Linked DNA regions of Caenorhabditis elegans. The protein of the gene in region 3 purifies or fractionates together with the protein of the main gene of each other region. This does not show direct contact. Each region holds a gene or a part of one and is shown on either strand. Other genes may lie near its edges.

Region 1 (6,595 bases), on a different chromosome or scaffold from region 3:
GTGCATCAACTCGACAGCTTTTATATTGAAATTTCTCAACAAATGAGCCATGATGACCTTCTCTTCCATAAGTGCAAAACGTTGACCGATGCAATTACGGCTTCCAGCTGAGAATGGGATAAAGGCGAATGATTTTCGACCAATTGAGTTTTCAGGATGGAAACGATCCGGATCGAAAACATCAGGATCCTTCCATTGAGCAGGATCGCGGTGAACAAGGTACAGGTTGAGCAGAAAAGTGACTCCTTTTGGAATATTAAAGCCTCCAATTACTTGATCATCACTCAGTTCTCTCGTAATAATTAAAACAGATGGAAAGAGACGCAGAGCTTCTTTCAATGCACATTCAAGATATTTCATTCTGGAGAGATGTTCAATAGTCACATCTTCATCGTCGCCCATTACTTCATCCAGTTCCGCTTGAACTTTTCTCTGAACGTCGGGATGATTTCCCAGAAGATGAACTGCCCACATTAATCCTGTAGATGTTGTATCGTGACCCTCTAACATGAATGTGTTACCTTCTGCTTGAACATCTGTTTCGTCCATTTGTCCACTGTTTACCATTTCGAGAAGAAGATCCAGGAATGCGAGACGACCTTCCATCTTATAATCATTCTCCTGTAGTGCTTATTTTCTCTCGCCAATCAATTTCTTCGTAAAATCATGGAAAATATGAAGACATTTTTCATGCGTCCGTCCGTCCTCTGTTCTAAAAATACAAATTAATTGACCTTATTAATGATAAAACTACCGTACAAATTGTAAATAAATGAATTCCACATCAAAGGATTATTTGTTCGCTTTGAAATCAGTTTATTGATTGTGTGCACTGCCCATACATACTCGTTATTCTGAAAAAGTATTTAGAAATGTTGAGATTAGAGTTGTTTTCCCAAACCTCAGCGAGTTGAGCGCCGATAGCTATTCCCATGGAAGTTTCGCAGATGATATCAAGAGTACAAAGGGCGATAACGGAGAGAACATCAACTCTTTCACTGAAAATAAACATTTGAAATAAGTAATTATAAATTGAAATTCTCACTCTGCACCAAGGCAACACAATTTCTGAACCAAAATCTTCAATAAAAGAAAATCAAAAAAAGACGCCATTGTTCTTTCTGGCTCGTCAAAATACTGATTCCAAGCCATGGTTCAAGCAAAACGTATGCGAACCCTGTTCAGATGTTTCGTCGACGAGAAAATTGCTTCAACAAGGTCGCCAGAGTAGAGCATCAGGCATGGGAATGGACCAATCCACAGAAGACACATTCGTGGATCTGGATATAAATATCCCATTCCAATCACTTGGTTCATGAATCCCTCTGGATCTGGCTTGGTGATGAGTCCGTGACCGATGATTGGGTATGATCGTGGCTGATTGAGATGCTGAAAATTTATTGAAGTTATTCATAAATTTATTTTGAAATCAAACCTTCAAAGCTTGACGCATTCTCAAGTGTTTGTAGAGCAGCCAAGCGATCACCGTCGCCGAAGCCAGAAGTACAGCGAGGATGATAACCCCCATGCATATGATGAATAAAAAAATATTAAATAAAATAAATGTTTATTTTCATAAAAACTGGACAAATTTCATATATGGACTTATCGGAACAAAAAGAAAGAAATAATAATAAACCAAAAAATTTGAAAATCTATGATAAAACCTTTCAGATAACTTCTCCACAGTCGGTGATGACGCAAGCCTTGGAACCCTTCGTGTTTGATTTATTGAAGGCGATGCGGGAGACAACTTCGGTTCCAGCCAAAACTTTACCAAATGCCACGGTTTTTCCATTCATCGATTCATATGGAAGAATCGAGATGTTGAACAACGAGCTGTTATTGTCTTCTTTCAATCAATTTTCCTGAAAAAAAAAGCTGATTTCAGATGCGGATATTCATGAAATAAAAAAGCAGATGAATAAAAATAAATAAATTCCCATTTCAGTCTCTCAATTTAGAAATGCTGAAAAACTGACCATCGGCAATATTCCCGGATTTTGATGCATTTCAAGATACTTTTCATTTTTGAAATTCTTTTCGGCAAAAAACGTATGGGTCAAACATTAGCCAAATAAATATTCTGAAAAGTTAGTTTTTGATAGCATCTTTTAAGCTGGATTTTGTCAATTTATAAAACTTTTAGATGCCTAAACATCACTTACAAGATTGAAAGCCCAATGAAAAAAACTAATGTTCAAATGAGTTAGCAATGGAGCGCGTTTACGTTCTTTGCGCGAGCTTCGAATTTTTCTGCTTTTATTTTCAGAAAAAAACACTTTCTGAAGTTTTTCAGTTTTCCTTCAATTTGTTATATCTGGTTTCATGCATTTTTTAATCGTAAGAAAATTTCATATTCATTTTAGTTTATCGAAATAAGAATTACTGTTTTAAAAATTAAACAGAATTGAGAAAACCACAAACTAAGCGCCCTGTGTTATTTTTTAACCAAAATTTCTCAGATTTTAAAAGATATTCTGAATTGATGCGAAGTAATCGTGTTTCTCTAAATTATATTCTCAGTTATTCTAAAAATTCCCCTCCTCTTCTCACATGCTCTTTTCCTAATTCTCAATGCAATTTTTCACAATTTATATTATATTCACAACCAAAACTATATTACTAATCGAAAATTGCAGACGCTGTCCGAACAGTTGTAGGAGTGGTGTCGGGCGACGTCAACGTCTCGAAACAGAACCAGGACTGCGAACGCGGAGAATTTTGTCTGCACTCTCTCCGAAGAGAGTGCAGAGAAAACCAGAAACGGGTAGTAGACCACCCAGTCGGTTAACTACGGTGGATTGGAAGAAGTGACCAGCAAGAAATTTCAATGTAAAAATAAGAGAGATTTCCATTTATTTCAATTGTAACTGTAATGGAGGTGGATCCGGGTTCAGATGATGTAGAAGCTGACAGAGAAACGAGAGCTCAGAAACTAAAATTAAAGTAAGTTAAATTTTTTAATGTTTTTTTTTGTTGAAATTGTTTTAAATTCTTTAATTCACATCCAGTCAAACTAAAATGATCAAAAACTAGGTTTTCAGAAGAAATGTCAAATTCCGTGCACAAATGAGAAGATTCGACGAGTACTGTGGAGTGACTAATTTAACAGTAGATGATCTCAATTGGCCTTTAATATCTGGAATTCCTTTACAAAGACAACGATTGACAGGAGCTACGTATTATGATGATAGTCTTCTCGATCAAAATCCTTGGGATGAATTTTCAATTGATCGATTTCTTGAAATTACTTCAATTCAATTAATAACAGCCGGTGCTGGATATGAAAGGAATGATGAAATTACTCGATTCGTTTTTCAAAGAACAATGAAGACAATTGTAACTTATTGCAATTTTATGTATGATTTGGCAAGGCGGAACGGGAAAGTGTGAGGCGAATCTGAAATTTTATAAAATAAAATTTTAATTTTCAGTCAAATAACTCGATTCGAGTTGCAAGATTTGATTCATCGCGATGAATTTCGGTTTTACATGTATTTTCGACAATTTTTAGTGAGTTTCCTTGTTTTATCATAAATTAAAACAAGCTCTACTTACCCGATTTTTTTTTCGATTTTTGAACCAAAAAAGGGATATCCGACTCGACACGACAATTTTTAGTTAAATAAAAACGGGTGTGTGCCTTTAATAAGTACTGTAATTTTAAACTTTCGTCGCTGCGGAATTTTCTTAGTTTTTCGGAAAATTGTTTTAATTAAAAAACTAAAATTACGCAATTACCAAAAAAAAACAGGGATTTTAAGAAATCAGGAAAACATGTAAAAACCGGTGAAAATTTAACAAAAACAAAATCTTGAAATTCCAGTACTCTTCAACGGCGCATTTCCGTTTGTATTTTACTTTTTTTAAAATCCTAATTCCAGCCCAATCCGGATCCGAATTGTACGGCCTTTTCCAATCACTACACGTCTCTTCTTCATACACTCTATTTCAATATTCCGGGAATGCCACAGTTTTGGAACAATTCCCAAATGTATAATTACGCTGCTACCCGTGGTCAACGCCTTGTTCAAAATATCGCCGCTTTTTATCCACCCGAATATTTTTGGAACGAAGATGAATCCAAGTATCATACTACGTTTGTGGTTCCACGTGGCACAGAGTTCTCAAAGTTTTATGCTCGAAGATTTCATGAAGCACTTGGAATGCCACCACTGGAAAATGAGATTATTACGGTTTTGGATTGGCTTGCGAAGCTCTGCATTTTGGAAGTAAGCATTTTAAAAATGTTATTTATGTACTCATATATTAATTTAAAGCTTTTAAGCGTTAAAAACTATTTTACATTTGTAGATTGTATATCACACAACGATTTGGTGCGACATAACTGGATTTGGAGGGCTTCCACGTATTGAGCACTATCGTTTAGCCATGGAGAATGTTGGTAGGAATTTATTGTTAAAATAATTTAAAAGTATATACATGACATGTTTTTCAAAATATAAAACACAATTTTTTTAAAGCGAAACTTTAAAAAATCATCAAAAGTCGAATAGCGTAAAGGGAATTTTTGTTTTCATAGTCGCAAATTTCTAAATTCTACAACAGAAAGACAAAAAATCGACATAAAAAATCCATCGTTTGAAAACATGCTTTTTCGATTTTGGCATTTTTTTGTATTGAATTCAAACCCGGATGTTAGCAAAAATTTTTAAAAAATCACGTTTTCGGTATTACTAAATTCTCCACATTTAAAAAGAGTCCATTCTGAAACTTTTTCGATTAAAAAATTTCTTTCACAACTATGTTTTGTTCTAATTTCAGAAGACATCATATTCGACTTGGCAATTGATGATTTCTCAATTTCCCGTCTACAGTTACAAATTTCGCCGTTTGAAATCTCTCGCTACTCACCTCTAGATGTATCTGGTTATTATGAAACAATTAAAAGAAAAAAAGATATTGAAGAATATCAAAATCGTTTCTATGAAGTTCATTATTCTGATGATGTTCGGATTATGAATGTTTATGCTACTGATTGCTCCAGGAAACGATGATATCAATTGTTATAATGATTTGCTTTTAATTTTAATATTATTTCATTTGAAAGTCTAACTCTCTATATTTTACCCAGATTTCCTATTTAATATCACCGATTTGCCTTCTATCTCACTAACGCTTCTTGTGTCATTCACTTTCGAATCCTCTGGTTTACATTTTGAAAAATGTCATAATGGTACACTGCTAAAAAAAGCTGGTTCCATATCACTTTAATTTGTTTTAAGATTTGTTTAATTTAAAATAAAGGTATAGATAATATCGATTAAGCTGCTTACAATTGGTTAGACGCTACGCAAGTGCGCTCTGGTAGACAAACAATAGCATCTGTTGAGTGCGCAGTTGGTTTACACTCATTCAAATGTGTACGGGTGTGGCATTCGAAACATTTCGAATGAAACACTAAGAGTTCCAGTTGCTTTTACGAGTTTTTGTGTAATTTTCAGTTGATTTAACGTTTATTGCTCATTGCTAGAAGCCGAACTACAAAAAACCCACTATTTGGCAATTAGTCTACTACGACTCAATTGGTAAAATATTTCGAAAGTTATATTTTTCCAATATAACCATCAATTTCATAATGTAGCATCTTTCCTTCAATTTTTAATATTTTTTTGTCATTCTGAATAAAAAAGTACAAAAGTCATGCTGAAAAGGATACATATCGATACAATTCCACATGAATATAATTTGAATTTCTATTCAACTGATATACATTACACATATTCGCGTGTGCTAGAAAACTCGTATTTTCCCATTCGATACATCATCTGCCAACTTTCTTAACAATCCCAAGATCGTCACCCTTTCCTCCACAGCACCAGTCCCGCCTTTTTAACAACGATCTGTTTTTAATGGATGCTCGATCTATATGCATTAATTCATTCTATCATTCATTTACCGAGATGGTCATAACATATTTCATTTATTTATGGTTTTTTTTGCTTTTCCAATGTATTATAGTTATATGAAATTCTCTGTAGTTCTAAAGTAAGTCGCATTTTACCAATCTTTTGTATATATTTTTAAAGCTTTGCTAAACTAAGAAAAATTATACAGGCTAGATTTTTCTAAACTTTATAATTTACAATCTTTAAATTTTGATGTCCAAGTTCCTCTTGATAAGAATCGAGCACTTTATAAAGAAACTACGAATTTAATAATCAATCTTCAACAACTCCCCCAAATTGGTAATTTCTGTGTTTTATTTTTTGATGTCACCTACCTATTCTAATTAAAATAATACTATCTCTGCCAATTTGATAAACGACCTTTCCCATCTTCTCCGAAGTTCCAAGTAGCCATCTCCAGATACTCCATCCACCTAGTCTATCGATTGAAAAGTCTTCACTTCCAAACGCTGCGTTTACCTATTTCCCCATTCTCAGAGAATATCCCACACAGAGTCAATCATTCATTCCGCCGACTTGGTCTCTTTTCCATTTCATTATTTTAATTTATGTACAACAATAGTCAATTGACTATATTAGTTCTCTTATTGCCATTTGCTCACCCTCTTTCAATGTTACATCTCAGCTTTCTACATTCATTGCCTTCAATCAATTATTTATGA
Region 2 (6,740 bases), on a different chromosome or scaffold from region 3:
TTTCGCATGGTCAGGAACGTGCTGACGTCACATTTTTCTGGGCGAAAAATTCCCGCATTTTTTGTAGATCAAACCGTAATGGGACAGCCTGGCACCATGTGTGGTAGGCTTGGTGTAGGCATAGCATTAAAATCATAAAAAATCATCTCACCTCGGTAATCTCATCCAAGTCATTGTAGTCGAACTCTACACCCATAAATTTGCACAAATGCTTCTTGGTAACCGAATTTTGGAGCAAACGATACTCTCGCCGTCCCAGAATACTTGTAACCAATCCCATCGCAGAAAATCGAGTGAAAATGAGAAAAAAAAAGTGAAGTCGACCAAATTTTATATGCGCCTCTAATTGTTTTTCTCAGAATTTGGCAGGGGGTGTCGTATATGAATTTGGATACTGTACAAAATTGGGTGAAAAATTATAAATATGCCGTTTTTGTGCATCTTCTAATTGTTATTGTCTACATGACTAGAAATTGTGATGAATAGAAAAAAAAGGGAACAATTTAATAATAATTCAGATTTTTAAAGGGTTATATGTATATCTTCCTAATAGTAAGTTCATTTTAATATATCATTTTTATAAATTAAAGTTATTCGACGCAAAAAACGGCGAAAATCGAGGCTTAAACTGCAAAAACAATTATTCGAAATGCTCTGTGACGTCACAAAATTTCAAAAAATATTTTCACGCTTTTCTGGCGCAGTAGAGCGATGGGACAGTCTGGCGCCACATGTCGGTGAACATTGGGTTACTGTAGCTCCAAAAGTATGTAAGTACTGTGGCAACACCAAATTTGACGACAAAATGCTGAAAATTTGTAAAATCACCAATGACGCTAAATTAGAATTTCGTATCGAAAATTTAAAAAAAATCAAATTTTGTAAAATTCCACCATAAAAAAAAATTAAATTCAAAATTTTTTGGACCAAATCTTTTTTCCTTAAAACGCGCCCAAACCTGGCTAAACTGCAATTATCAGTAGAGCGCGTTTACACTGATGTACCCTTTGCCGGGCCGTGTTTCAGCTAAATTCTGCTTTCTTTGTTAATAGAGCGCATTTGCTGTAAGCGGGAAATTTGAAATTCCCTCTTGAAAATATGACTTTTTTAATCATTTTTTCGCGGTGTTTTCGAGCTTTTCTTTCGAAAAATCCCGGATTTTCAATTGAAAAGGAGATTTTCTACTGAAAATGACTGGTATACTCCGATTTTTTACATTTTTCACGAGTTGAAAAGTTTACAGTCATTTATGAAAATTCAGTGTTCAAAAAGTGTCTCAAAAACCTATTCAGCTACTCAATATCCCAGTAATTCCACGTCATTATACAATTTATATCATAAAATAAATTCAAATCAAATATATGTTCAAGTGGAGGAGGAGAAGGAAAGTACTCGGATTTTTGGTGGGATGCCAACTGGTTGGAAACGTATGTAAATGTGAAATGCTACAGGAACACCGAGAACAAAATATGTGTGTGGGTCACGGAAAGCTGCTAGATAACGGGGAGAAATGACGACGATATGGTGAATAGGAGAGAGAAAATTGGAATACCCAAAAAACAAATAGACACAGGAAAACAGGGGAAAATTTGATAAAATCGACCGAAAATTAGGAAAAAAAACGACAAAAATTTGAGAAAATCAACCGAAGTTTAGCAAGAATTTTCCCAATTTTCAGGCAAAATTTCCACCGAAAAGCAGTTATTCCTCATCAGTGACATCGGAATCTTCATCGTCTGATTCATGTTTCATAAGCTTCCACACATCCTGCGGTGGACGCAAAAAGCCAATCACAACAGACACGTTGTCGGCACTTCCAGCCTCAATCGCTTTTGTACAGATGAAACGGGAGAGCTCCGCGTAGTCTGAAAAAATTTTTTTTCGATTTTTAAAGAATTTTCTACATTAAAAAATAAAGTAACGTCGGCTAATGTTTTTTACCTTAAAAATAATTTTGAATGGTTTTTTTAAAAATTGATTTTTTCAAATTTTAGTAAATTACCCGATTTTCTTTTTTAAAAATACAATAATTCGAAAATCTTTACTTTTTTTTTTGAAAACCCCCGAAAAATAGCCAATCTTCTGATTTTTTTTCAGAAAAAAAAAACGAAAAAATAGTTTTTGGCTTTGGAAATTTAGTTTTTCTCCAAGAATTTTTATTAACCTTCAACAGGATAATCATTCGCAAATGCCTCCACCAACTGGTACAGGTCACGCTCGTTGAAAACATCAGAAATTCCATCACAAGCCAGGAGCACCAGATAATCCGAGCTTTCAATAGGCACCTGACACGTTTCCGGTTCATTAGAGATCATCGGCCGTCCAGGAACATCTCCGAGTGCTCGGGTGAGATTTAGAACTCCGTTCACCCGCAATTCGCCTCCAATCACAAAAAGCTGGCCGCCAGCTTCCTCAACACGCCGAGCTTCCCGTTCATCGGATGGCGAGTGTCCACGTGTCAACTGACGGAATTCAATGTTCGACATGACGTATCCGGGTGAGTCACCGAGCCACGCCAGCGCCATAAGCTTCTGATCCATGTCGATTGCACAGCAGACAGCTGTACTTCCACCCTTCCAACACTCTTTCACACTTCTGACAGTCATTCGTTCGTCGAGAAGCTCCAGCGACTTGCGAAGCTGATCTTCGAGGCTATCTGAAGGATCTCGCGATTTTCGAACCTCCAACCATGTCTCCCAAAGGTGCCCGGCTGCGTACTGAGAGCACTCGTGACCACCGTGACCATCGAACACCGCTAACACCGAAATTGGATCCTAAAAATTTCATTTTTCAGTAATTTTCCAGGCCTAAAATCCTCCTAAACCTCTCCACGATCCATATATTGCCCATTAGGATACGCCAAAAACCGATCTTCTTGCTTGTGACGTTGCCCTTTCAGTTGATCGCCCGACACGTGGATTCCAGACCACTTTTCAGACAGAATCGGGCACGTTTCGGCGTTTTGCTGGAGAATCTTGTCGATCGCCGGCCAAATTTTGTCGTTGAATAGCTTTTTGGCTTCTGAAAATAAGTTGTATTGATGAACAGAAGTGTTGAGTTTTTGAAGATTTTTTAAAAATTCTATTTAACAAGTTTTATTTTTGCAAAAATTAGCAGATCAATGGGGAATGGCCAGCTAAAAATATTTAGCAGACCAATGAGGATAGGTCTGCTAAATATTTAGCAGACTCATGGTAGGTATGCTAAATATTTAGCAGACCCATAGGTGGTCTGCTAAATAATTAGCAGACCCATAGTTGGTCTGCTAAATAATTAGCAGACCAATGGGGATGGGTCTGCTAAATATTTAGCAGACCCAAGTTAGGTATGCTAAATATTTAGCAGACCAATGGGGATAGGCCTGCTGAATATTTAGCAGGCCCATGCTTGGTCTGCTAAATTAATAGCAGATTTTGCACATTTAATAATTACCTGTGGTACTATCGGTAACATAAATATCAGGATTATACTGAACATCTCTGAACGCAACTTCACTGAATTTCTCGTCAATTTCTGTGGCGATCAAGTGAGACACCCAGTGACAAAAGTCGACCGCCTGGCCTCTTTTCATCATTTTCTGGAAAATGTCGTGAATCGCGTCTCCGAAAACATCATGAACTGGTCCGGCGATTGGTGGATGACGGAAACGTATTGGAATATGCGGTTGTGGAGTGTCGGCAACCTCGACGTCATAGCTAGTTTTCTCCATTTCATCTGCAAATGCCTCCTCCAGAAGTGACCGGACACTTCGACGGCGATCGCCGATGTGATCCTGGAATATACATTTTTCTAACTAGCATTAAATATATAAAATCCCGTTTTCTACCTCGAAAACCGCATCCCGCTCCTCGTTTACTTTTTCCATGTATTTTTCCAGTTTTAAAACCACTACCGGCTTCGGTGGGACAGCTGGGTTGATCTGACATTTCAATAATTGTTTTTAACATAAAAATCAGAGAAAAACCGAGAAAAAACAATGGATTTCAACACAAAATGAGGAAAAATCAACAAAAAAATAATGCAGAATTTTCTGCACCAGAAACGCGCAAAGCTTCTCGTTTGCGCACTTTCGGTGCGTTGGCGCGTTTCTCGCGCGAAATATTAATTTAATTCGCATTGTATTGTATTAATAACATTTTTATCAAATCAAAAATGGATCAAAAATTTAAAATAAAAATCAATTATTCATATATATCCATGCGCGCCAAGATAATCCCACTCCACATTCGGCGTCTGTACTTGGCTGTCCAAAAGATCCCATTCCTTCACTTTCGCCCTCTCCGCCCAATTACATGCTTCATATTTGTGGATATATGTCTCCTTGAAATGCTCCCATAGCTCATTTGCCACGCGATACTGAAACTCCACGTGGCATCGGAATTCAGCGGGGTCGGCTCTAAGCTTGGGTAGCGAGTTGTAAGCTTGAACTGCGGCATTTTTTCTCAACTGGGCGTACTTATCGATTTTCCACGTGGTTAGTAAGAAGAAGTCCTTGTAAAGAATAAGAAGAGTATCGATGATTTCACCGGTTTCCTGGAAAAATCGCAGATTTTTCTTGAGTTAACTCAAACGCCATTGAAGGCCGCCTACCTCATCCTCAGCACCCAAATTCTGAAGTTCCCTGCATTTTCTCCGAATCTCGTACAACGTTTTTTTATACTTGTCGCGAACCTCGTTGTTCTCTACTTCAATGACTCGTTGTCCGGCGGGAAGCTGAATTCATTAATTCAGTTCTTGATAAATGTAATTTTGAAAAAAATATGTTTAAAAAACCTCGGCAACGTCAATTCTACCGTTATTCGAGAGGGTGATCGGTGTGCGCTTGTAGATTTCCTAAAAATTTATAAATTTGAGAAAATCCGTGCCCGTGATTAAGAATATTCTCACCTCAAAAATATCCGGTTTTTTGATAATCTCGTTACTTTTCGAGTAAAGTACACAGGGGCGTTCAACATTTTCCTCCTCGGGATTCACAGAGATTTTGACCTGAAAATTTCTTGAGCTTAGGTATAGGCATACGTTTAGGTATTGTCAAAGGCATAGACTTAGAAATTGGCATAGACTTAGGCGTAGGCTTTGGCTGAGGCCTAGGCTGAGTCTTAGGCTTTGGCTGAGTCTTAGGCTTAGGTGTGAGCTTAGTCTTAGGCTAACCTTTAGGCTTAAGCTTAGGTGTAGGCTTAGGTTTAGGCCTAGGCTTATGCGTAGGCTTAGGCTTGTGTCTCCAGGCATAGGCTTAGGTTTAGACTTAAGCTTAGATTTGTTTTTTTTTTCGAAGGTTTCTCAGCAAAAAAGATTGAAAACATAAGACTCTGAAAAAAAAACGAAAAATATTACCTTTGGGTCCCGTTCAGCAATACGTGGGCTCTCTTTCACCGCAACTGGGCCTGCCAGCTGATAGACGCTGGAAATATTATCTGTAGCTGAATCTACAGTGCACAGGGTTCCAAGACATTGCCCCATTATCGGTTGTGACAGGGAAATAGAGGATTACTTGGCGAAGGCTCAACTTGGTAGGCCGCCTAATTTACAGTACCCCACGACTGCCTTGTTTTCGACTAGTCCGGGTTATTTTTAAATTTTGTTGGAAAAACAACAAGAAAATTGTACAATTTCATGAATTTCGCTGGCCTGGTGAGTACTGTAAATTATGCAAAGTGATGGAAAATAAATATTGAACGAATTTTTTTCGAGCCGGGGAAACTTAGAGAATTAGTTTTCTAGCCTTCAAATCATGTTCCTGGGGTTTTTTTCCAAATTGTTTTTCTCAAAAATTTGTAAGATTAACACTTTTCATTTAAAAGCAATAATGATTTCTGAAAACCTGACACAAAAAGTTTTTGGTAACTGGGAAAAAACATGGGAACGTTGATGATAACAATTTGAGATCCAAAAAGAATTCTCGGGTGTGTGGAGGGGAAAAAAAGAAAAACACTCAAAAATGTCTGCACATTTTGAGTGCAAAAGAGCAAAAAAGCAACAAAAAAATAAAATTTTTAACATGAAATTTAAGAAATCTGCAATTCTCCTTCGACGACATCCTTCAAGCTGAGAATCTCCAATCTTCCGTGTCCCTTCGTCTCATTTCGGACCAAATCGTCCAAAGCTCTGAACGATCCGGGCTCAATGAGCCCAACCATCTCGAGGCTTCCATCCTGCCAATCGTCAACTTCCACGTCACTGAATAGGGTTTTAAGCTTCGTGTGCACGGATTTCGCTTCTTTTGTCGGAATCGCCACACGGATCTTCATCTTGGCTCGTTCGATTTTCAGAGTTTCACGAAGTTTTGGAATTGCGTCGAGAGCCTGCTGCTTTGAGGAACGATTCGGTTTCAGGGAAAAGTGCATTTCTTGTAGAGCTTTATCGATTACTGACGGTGGAACTGGACGCTTCGTTTCAGGATTTACGACCATTGAGGCAATCAGCTGGGATACCTGGAAAATTGAGATTTTTCAGGATTTTTTTGAAGAAAAATTAAAAATTTTCAGGAACTTGTTTGGGAGAAAATTAAGATTTTTTAGGAATTTTTAGAAAAAATTGGGATTTTTCAGGAATTTTTTTGGAGGAAAATTGAAATTTTTTAGGAATTTTTTAGGAATTTTTTAGAGGAAAATTGAGATTTTTCAGGAATTTTTTTGGATGAAAATTCACATTTTTCAAGAATTTTTTTATATAAAAATTGAGATTTTTAAAGGATTTTTTTTTTGGAGGAAAATTAAGATTTATCAGGAATTTTTTTTGAA
Region 3 (7,514 bases):
GATTGTCGTTCACTAAGAATGAATTCACCGAGGAGACGTTCATCGTTCGAGAGCTTCGTAATACGATGAAATTCGGCGATTTGATGTTCATCCTCACACAGGCATGCAATCATTGTCATTGGCTCGACAGTTTTTGAAAACCTATTAAAAACTGTATGAAATCTCTCTAGATTGCATTCCTTCGGAAGTCCCAGATATTTTTGTAATTCACATTGTTCAATCATCGCTTTTAACACCTCATCAGCCATTCTTCCAACCACAATCTTTTTGAGTTCTGTCCAAATTCTCTCGGCACTTATTCCCGCCATACCATCCTTGTTCTCTACAATCGCCTGAATTGTGTCGTGCTCGTGTTCCGTACAGTCACTGATTCGTCCAAAGAAACGGAAATATCTGAAATATAGAGATTTTGATAACAGGAAAATGTATGATAATTGTAAAAACCTAAGAATTCGTAAATAGTCCTCCTGGATTCTCTGACGAGCGTCTCCAACAAAAGCGATGCGCCGAGTTTCAATGTCTCTGATTCCACCGAAATAGTCGACAACGTTTCCATGAAGATCTGTAAAAGAAATTCCAATATTTCATGAGCAAAGAATATAATATTATGGGAACGCGCTCCATTGCCAATTGAAAAACTCCGCCCACAAACTATGGGTCTCGTTAGGTATTTAGCGGAAAGCCCGTGAATGCACACGTTTTCAATTAATTTCGGCGATTTTCTGTTGTTTTTGATTATTTTTCATTTCCTAATGATGATTTGAAAAAATTTATGCGGATTTGAAAGGTGAATAATGGGTTTTCATATTACTATAAATTTTAAATCCAATTCCGTATAAAAATTATTTTTAAAAACAGGAAAAAACAGAAAATGTTTGAAATTTGGCGGAAGTGCCGAAACTAATTGAAAGTTTCAATTTACGGTTTTGCTGACAATTCCTAACGAGACCCATGGTTCGGGGGCGGAGTGCTTTCAATTTCCAATTTCTATACTAACCCAAAAACAGTGAATTGATAGTAAGATCTCTTCTATTTGCATCAAGTTGCCAGTCAGTTGTGTATTCAACTTGAGCCCTTCTTCCATCACACACAATGTCTACACGAAGCGTTGTGATCTGGGAAAATGTATATAGATTAAATTTATTAAACTAAAAACTAAATACCTCAAAGTTTTCACAATCGTCAATGCGACACGTGATTGTTCCGTGCTCTTCGCCTCTTTTATGAAGCATTCTAATTTTATCCTCTTCGAACATTTCCTGAATAAAATATATTTTTTTTGAGATTTGGAAAACAATTAAAACCTTCATTTGAGTCGGTGTTGCAGTACTGGCAAAGTCAACGTCAGCCGGTCGAATGTTCATAAGTAGATCTCGAACAGCTCCACCGGCAATTCGAAGCTCATAATTTCGTTTGGCGAATAAATCACGGAGTTTCAAAAGTTGAGGTGTGAAGAGAGTTCTGAAAAATATAGAATTAAACTTAAAACGATTCTTCAAATATCCGGAACTTGCCGAAAATCTTCATTATCAATTTTCATTGTAGTTGGCTCAATTTGATTCATGATGTATGTTGGAGTTTTTGCTGTTGATAGACTTCTGGTTGTTAAACTAATTATTGTAGTTGGGGTCAAAAATTTAGACACAAACTTCATAAAGCTGATATTCACTCACTGAAAAATTACAGGATAATTTGGAGAAATCTCCAATAGAGATATTAAAAGAAAATCACATATAGACGGATGACACGAATCGATATTTATTATTATGAAATAATTGTTATTAACCTACTTAATCGAATGACGTCTGGCATAAGTCGATAAAACGAAGACAAAAATTTTAAAAAAGGCAATGTCGAGGGTAGAACTTTGAATTTTGACAAGTAGTTTTTACGAAAAATGAAAGCGAAAAAAGAGGGAACCGACAGGGACTAAAAAGCTCATTAGATCAAAAAGAAGTCACATAAGGACTAACATACTGACTGAACTATTGTATAAAGGAAATCAAAATCTGGGAGTAGTGAGCCCATCATTTGAATAAAAATATAAAATCAATCAAACCCGATAACTTAATGGGAAACAATCGAAAAGAGAAAGAGAAGAGTGTGAGACAGAATCTGACAAAAAATAGTAAAAAAAAGAAAAATTATAGTGGCGGGCCGGGATATAACGAGTTGAATAGACACATAAATTCGTTTTTCCTCAAATTTGACGTTTCAATACTGTTGGCTTTTGACTATATTCCATGATATGATAGCATTGTTGATTTAAAAATGAGGGCATCGTGTACAATATTAGTTCCTAAGCAAGAACATTCTATGTACAGGGGCAGAGATTCGAGAATTCGTTAAGGGTATACAGCATCAAAGTCGAGAAGGATAACTTTGGTCTCCTCGGTGTTGTTACGAGATCCGACTGCACACGCTAGCATCGTAGAAGTAGAACAAAGTCTCCAAATACAGCCACCATTGCCTCCAGAATCCAAAGTTACTAGATCTCGAATCAGTGCACCTGGAAAATTTTTTTATGGGTAAAACTATCTGTAATTTATGTGATCTAACCTCTCTCAATATCCCACAATTTGACAGTTCCATCGTCACTACTCGTTGCTACCATATTTCGTCCAAACCATTGAAGTGAAGTGATAGCGGATCGATGTCCAGAAAGCATGTGTACACAAGTTCCCTCGTGAATATCCCATACCTGAAAAAATGATTTAAAAAAATAATACAATTTTTCAATGTTCTCACAATGTGAGGGTTACTTTATCTACTACGCTTTTGTGCTTTTCCATACTTTTGAAAATCATTTCAGATCCGTACACCTTTGTTTGCCATCGAATATTGGCTTTTGTAGAAACAGCCGCAGAGAGACAGAAAACGCAGTGAAACATCAGGACCAATTTTATTAATTGGAATTGGTCTCTAATTGTTTAACAGGAGAGCGATTCAGACTCTCGTACAAATGTTTAACTATGACAAGTTTCTCAATCTTACATCTCTATACTTACTCTAACATGGCTATCTGCATTGCATGACACGAGAATATTGCCTCGAAGTTGCATTCCGGATGTAAGTGAGGTGTGTCCTTGCAAAAGAGCCACACATTCTTGGCCTTCCGGTCGTGTAAAATCCCACACGCGAATTGAAGTGTCCAGAGAGCCAGAGCACACGATCGATCGCTCGCTTTCAAACTGAAAACAAAAACATTATTTTTCGGATTTTGTTATAAGAAAAACGTACGAGAAGAGAATAAACTCTATTGTTATGACCGGTCAGAGTACGGATACATCTCCCAGTATGAGCATTCCAAATTTTAACGGTAAAATCATATCCTCCCGAAACAACAGTTGTTCCATCGAATTGAACGCATCGAACGGCTGCATGATGGCCATGTAAAGTTGCCAGGTGACGTCCGGATTCTACGTCCCATACACGAAGAGTGGTATCTCGTGATCCAGTGACAAGTCTGAAAGTATTAAAATTAAAATGTATGGGTTGAAAGTGTGGTTATTCAGCGAGATTTTTCGTTTTCTTCTCATTTTTAAGATAGAAAATGTATTAAAAAAGTCTTAAACAACCAAATACACGTTCGTGTTTTTCTATTTTGAAACAAAAGTTTTAAAAAAATTACCATAAACTTTTTTTGTGAAATTAGATAGAATAATTTTCTTAAGATATAAATGATCTACAAATCAAAAACTTTCCATCAAGATTTGATATAGCTCGCAAATTAGGGAATTCAACTGTACGAAACCCGAAATTTTCAGTATTAAATTTCTTTTTCCAAGCAGTTATCATAGTGAATAGCCTTACATGGAACCAGCCATAGCCATGCATCGAACAGTGGAAGTATGTCCTTGAAGTGTATGAAGAAGTGAACCATCTACAGTACTCCAAACTTTTACAGTTCTATCAGTGGACCCGCTAACAATATATCTTCCGCATTGAGAAATCTGTGATGTCCAAACTCCTCCAGTGTGGCCGACTAGTGTGTACATAACCTCTCCTTTGTCAATACACCATACTTTAAGAGTGTTATCGTCAGATCCAGTCACCAAGACATCATCATGAATTTGCATACAAGTGATTACATGATCTTCGTGTCCTCGTAGCACTGCTGACCCCATAATTGGATTCGCATTCCAGTTCTTTTCAATTTTATCGGCTCGAAGATAACGTGACTTGTCAGCAGCGCGTTCGAAGATACTGAAAATAAATCGAATGTGATCGGAACGTCTTTAAAAATAATATTTCCAATAAACGTACTCTCCAAACTTCTGCAACTTTAGAAATCGATGAACATTAAGATCACATGGCTGAATGTGATCAGGAATAGTGACTCCAGCAGCAATTGCAGTTCCTTGCCACGCACCAGTAACTCGGTCTCTGAAAAGATAATACTAATCTCAAATAATTCCCGTTCAAAAGTATTACGTGGGATCTGGATGATGTTTAAACTCTTCGACACCAAGACTCTTCCAAATTTTGTCAATTTCAGATATCAATTTCCAATTTTTCGACACCTGTGCCACTTTGAGCAGGTCATATCCGGTTAAATTGTGAAGGATTTTCATTCCGAGCTGAAAAAGTTATATTTATAATTTTTCTTTCCGTTTCAACACAAATACCTCGACAGGGAGGCAGGAGAGGAAATCACGCTGGAAATGGGGTTCAATAATGGCACGCAGCTGTCGAATATTTGTCATGTTGGATTCCTGAAGCAGACGTGTGAATGCATCCATTTGTTCCGCGCTTGATAGATCCTAAAATGAATTCAAATTACACTTTTTTTCAGCAAAAATAGAGCGAATATGCCTGGCTGAGGTGCTCTCTTCAAGGTTTGGAAAAATCAATAATACACAGGTCACCCTCACCGGAGCTTGAATGCATTGTTTTGTCATGTTACTAATTATTGTCGCATTCAAATATTAATTTATTGCATGTGTATTAGCCGCAACGCTGAAAGATTGATCGCGACAATCAATCAATATGTTTACCTTGAATAATGCGATCAAATGTTCGACACGCGGATTGAGGTCGTTGTTTCGAGAGGGAGAAGCCGATAAATCAAGTTTGTGTTGCAAAGGTCTGGAACTGGTACGTTTTGCTATAAATATTCACTACAAAAAGGCTTACGACGATAATTTGTCAGCATTGTAGCTGGAAGAAGAGCCATTGCTGTACGAGCTTTCTTCTCCATTGTCCTGAAGACAAACATTTCAATTAGAATTAAATTATATTCTGAAAAGGGTTGTAAATGTTAACATACATTATATTCCATATCATTATCGGTAACAGGCTCCTGGTCCTCCGGTGTCATCGATCCATCATCCATGTGTACATCATTTCGTGGCCACATATGGCTGAAAAAGAATTGGAAATGAATAAAGGACAAAAACTACTGGGAATGAAGAATTTGAACACAAAAGGAAAGTCGATAAAACTATGATTTTCGTGAGAAAATGAGAAGAGAAGATGAAAGCTTTTTGCACGCGATATGCGTCAAGGCATCCAGTAGTGCGCCAATAACCGCTTGACGCATTTTCCGACGCGCACGTTTGTTCACTTGATGTTCACACGATGAAACATTTTCTATGCATATAAAGTGTATAAAGTTGATAAGATAACTTCAACAAATATTCTCGTGTAAAATAAAATATAAAATGTCCGACTTGTCGGTCACATAATCAGTTTCACAGAAGAAGCAGGTGTTCGATGGTCACTGCTGTTGCATATGACAGCTGGGTTCTCGTCCTTCATGATGGTGCAGAAAAATGTGTTCAACCTTGTTTCAAAATCATTTTTACGGAAAGGTTGTTTCGTATTGCACAAGTAAACCATCCTTATAAATTTCAGGATAATAAGGAATTTAAAAAACGAACTGCATCCCACGAAAACTCTTGTTTTGAAATTTTAAACTGAGTATATTAATTCAGTTTTTGAATAAAATAATACATATAGGTAATATGGTTTTTTAAAACAAGTGATTCAATTTACAACCACAAAAGAAAAATGATTTAAAATCTGTAACATTCTGAACGTAATGTGGTATTTCCATAACTGAATTCAAAAGAATTATGACCATCTGTGGCTACCGAGGGGGTAATTTTATGGAAATGAATACCATAAACTGACAGAAAAAGAGACACGAACACCTGCCACAATTGGAAACAATCGCTTTGGAATTTCTGTATAATATTTCTTCACAAATGTCAAGAACTATTTCTGATATGATAACACATTCATGACTAAACTGCAATTCCCATCTGAAATACGTTAGTTGAGTCATAGCTCACTATTTGCTCCATTTCTTTGTTTTTCACACTTTATTGGCTTTGTATTGCGGGGGGACGAATATGAAAGAATTGAGATGTGATTGAGAGGATTCAATTCATAAATTGTACTGATATTTATCAGCGAAAGTTAAAATTCATATTTGTCAGCAACACATCACATTTGCAAGATATATATTCAATATGCTAGAAATTGCACAAAACCGAAAAATACGATTATTTGAAATAGCCTACATTCTCTGAAAACGGAAATTCCGATTGTTCGACTTCAGGAGGAGCCACAATTTCCAACACTTTTGATATGTTTATTTAGTGAAATAAAAACTGAAATAAAATCCAAATCTATTCAAGAATGACGTTGGTATCAGACAATAAATTCGTGAAATATATTTTTATTTTCACGCCTTTCTACCTATATCATTTCGATAAAAAAAGGACGACGAAACATGAAAATAATTAAATTAAAATAATTTGGCAATTTTGATACTAGTCCAGCTCCAGTATGTCAAAAAATTCGATTAGTTGAAAGAGACCTGACCAATTCGGAAATTTCTGTAGAACGATTTTGGAAAGCTGAAAAAATGTTTTCTTGGAAGATTTTCACATTATAATTAAAATTTGAACTGCAAAACTATAGAAACAAAAACAGAATAAAAATGAGCTCTAATTGTAAATTTAAGGATAAAATCAAATACCAACATCATACGTGTTGCCAAAATTTAGGGTTTTCGGTATGGTGTCTAGAAAATGAAATAGTGGGTATACCTGATTTAAAATTAAAAAGTGTTCAGTCTGTTGTTAAGACTATTATATGTTGCCCACAAATTATTAAAAATGGGTATTTCAGAAAAACAAATGTATTATTTTTGTAGAGCTTTATTTATTTTCAAATATAAATGGCCAACTTACAAACTTTTTGATTACAATATGATGATCTGTTTGTTGGTTTATCGAAAAACGGCATGTTCAGAAATTGCCGAAATTGAACATTTTTTAGAAAATTCCTTGATTACCGCCCACCCCTACAACAAAAGAACTACGGTATTTACTTTCTGATCCGATTTGAAATTCTGGTAATCTACGTGTGTTCAAAAGTTGAAGTGGAAGCATCAAAAATGGATGCAACTTTGAAACTACTTTTAGGCACAATTTAATTACTCCCATTTTCATCCGAGATCATTGAGATCCAGACACAACCATCGTTCAATGTGATTTTGATTG

Evidence for each region.
Region 1: the proteins of sel-10 (region 3) and fem-3 purify together in Caenorhabditis elegans (affinity purification with western blotting, with the first as the bait; one study listed by BioGRID). This does not show direct contact.
Region 2: the proteins of sel-10 (region 3) and fem-2 purify together in Caenorhabditis elegans (affinity purification with western blotting, with the first as the bait; one study listed by BioGRID). This does not show direct contact.

The regions. Positions count from the first base shown.
Region 1 is NC_003282.8:9,102,324-9,108,918, forward strand, and holds fem-3 (Sex-determination protein fem-3), read left to right. Parts: upstream 1-2,642; 5' UTR 2,643-2,878; coding exon 2,879-2,949; intron 2,950-3,039; exon of another isoform or gene 3,040-3,047; coding exon 3,048-3,392; intron 3,393-3,437; coding exon 3,438-3,516; intron 3,517-3,887; coding exon 3,888-4,235; intron 4,236-4,317; coding exon 4,318-4,408; intron 4,409-4,788; coding exon 4,789-5,021; 3' UTR 5,022-5,284; downstream 5,285-6,595. Other genes in the region: C01F6.14 (Ovule protein), read right to left, coding at 1,574-1,798. UniProt on the Caenorhabditis elegans protein: Required for male development. In XO (male) animals, fem-3 directs male differentiation in all tissues. In XX (hermaphrodite) animals, it specifies the first 80 or so germ cells to be sperm. Negatively regulates male development when bound to tra-2.
Region 2 is NC_003281.10:630,708-637,447, forward strand, and holds fem-2 (Protein phosphatase fem-2), read right to left. Parts: upstream 3,920-6,740; 5' UTR 3,866-3,919; coding exon 3,827-3,865; intron 3,773-3,826; coding exon 3,433-3,772; intron 3,022-3,432; coding exon 2,825-3,021; intron 2,775-2,824; coding exon 2,165-2,774; intron 1,866-2,164; coding exon 1,702-1,865; 3' UTR 1,312-1,701; downstream 1-1,311. Other genes in the region: T19C3.6 (uncharacterized protein), read right to left, coding at 152-280; eakr-4 (EAK-4 Related), read right to left, coding at 4,186-4,533, 4,591-4,713, 4,774-4,833, 4,888-4,986, 5,335-5,460; sbds-1 (Ribosome maturation protein SBDS), read right to left, coding at 6,006-6,431. UniProt on the Caenorhabditis elegans protein: Dephosphorylates auto-phosphorylated Ca(2+)/calmodulin-dependent protein kinase unc-43/CAMKII in vitro. Involved in the regulation of sex determination.
Region 3 is NC_003283.11:13,817,210-13,824,723, reverse strand, and holds sel-10 (F-box/WD repeat-containing protein sel-10), read right to left. Parts: upstream 5,364-7,514; 5' UTR 5,360-5,363; coding exon 5,270-5,359; intron 5,205-5,269; coding exon 5,137-5,204; intron 5,095-5,136; coding exon 4,998-5,094; exon of another isoform or gene 4,875-4,997; intron 4,764-4,874; coding exon 4,629-4,763; intron 4,581-4,628; coding exon 4,435-4,580; intron 4,387-4,434; coding exon 4,267-4,386; intron 4,207-4,266; coding exon 3,814-4,206; intron 3,467-3,813; coding exon 3,241-3,466; intron 3,192-3,240; coding exon 3,009-3,191; intron 2,702-3,008; coding exon 2,560-2,701; intron 2,510-2,559; coding exon 2,346-2,509; 3' UTR 1,744-2,345; downstream 1-1,743. Other genes in the region: hpo-31 (CCA tRNA nucleotidyltransferase 1, mitochondrial), read right to left, coding at 1-393, 445-562, 998-1,115, 1,164-1,259, 1,305-1,461, 1,515-1,564. UniProt on the Caenorhabditis elegans protein: Probable substrate recognition component of SCF (SKP1-CUL-F-box protein) E3 ubiquitin-protein ligase complex, which mediates the ubiquitination and subsequent proteasomal degradation of target proteins.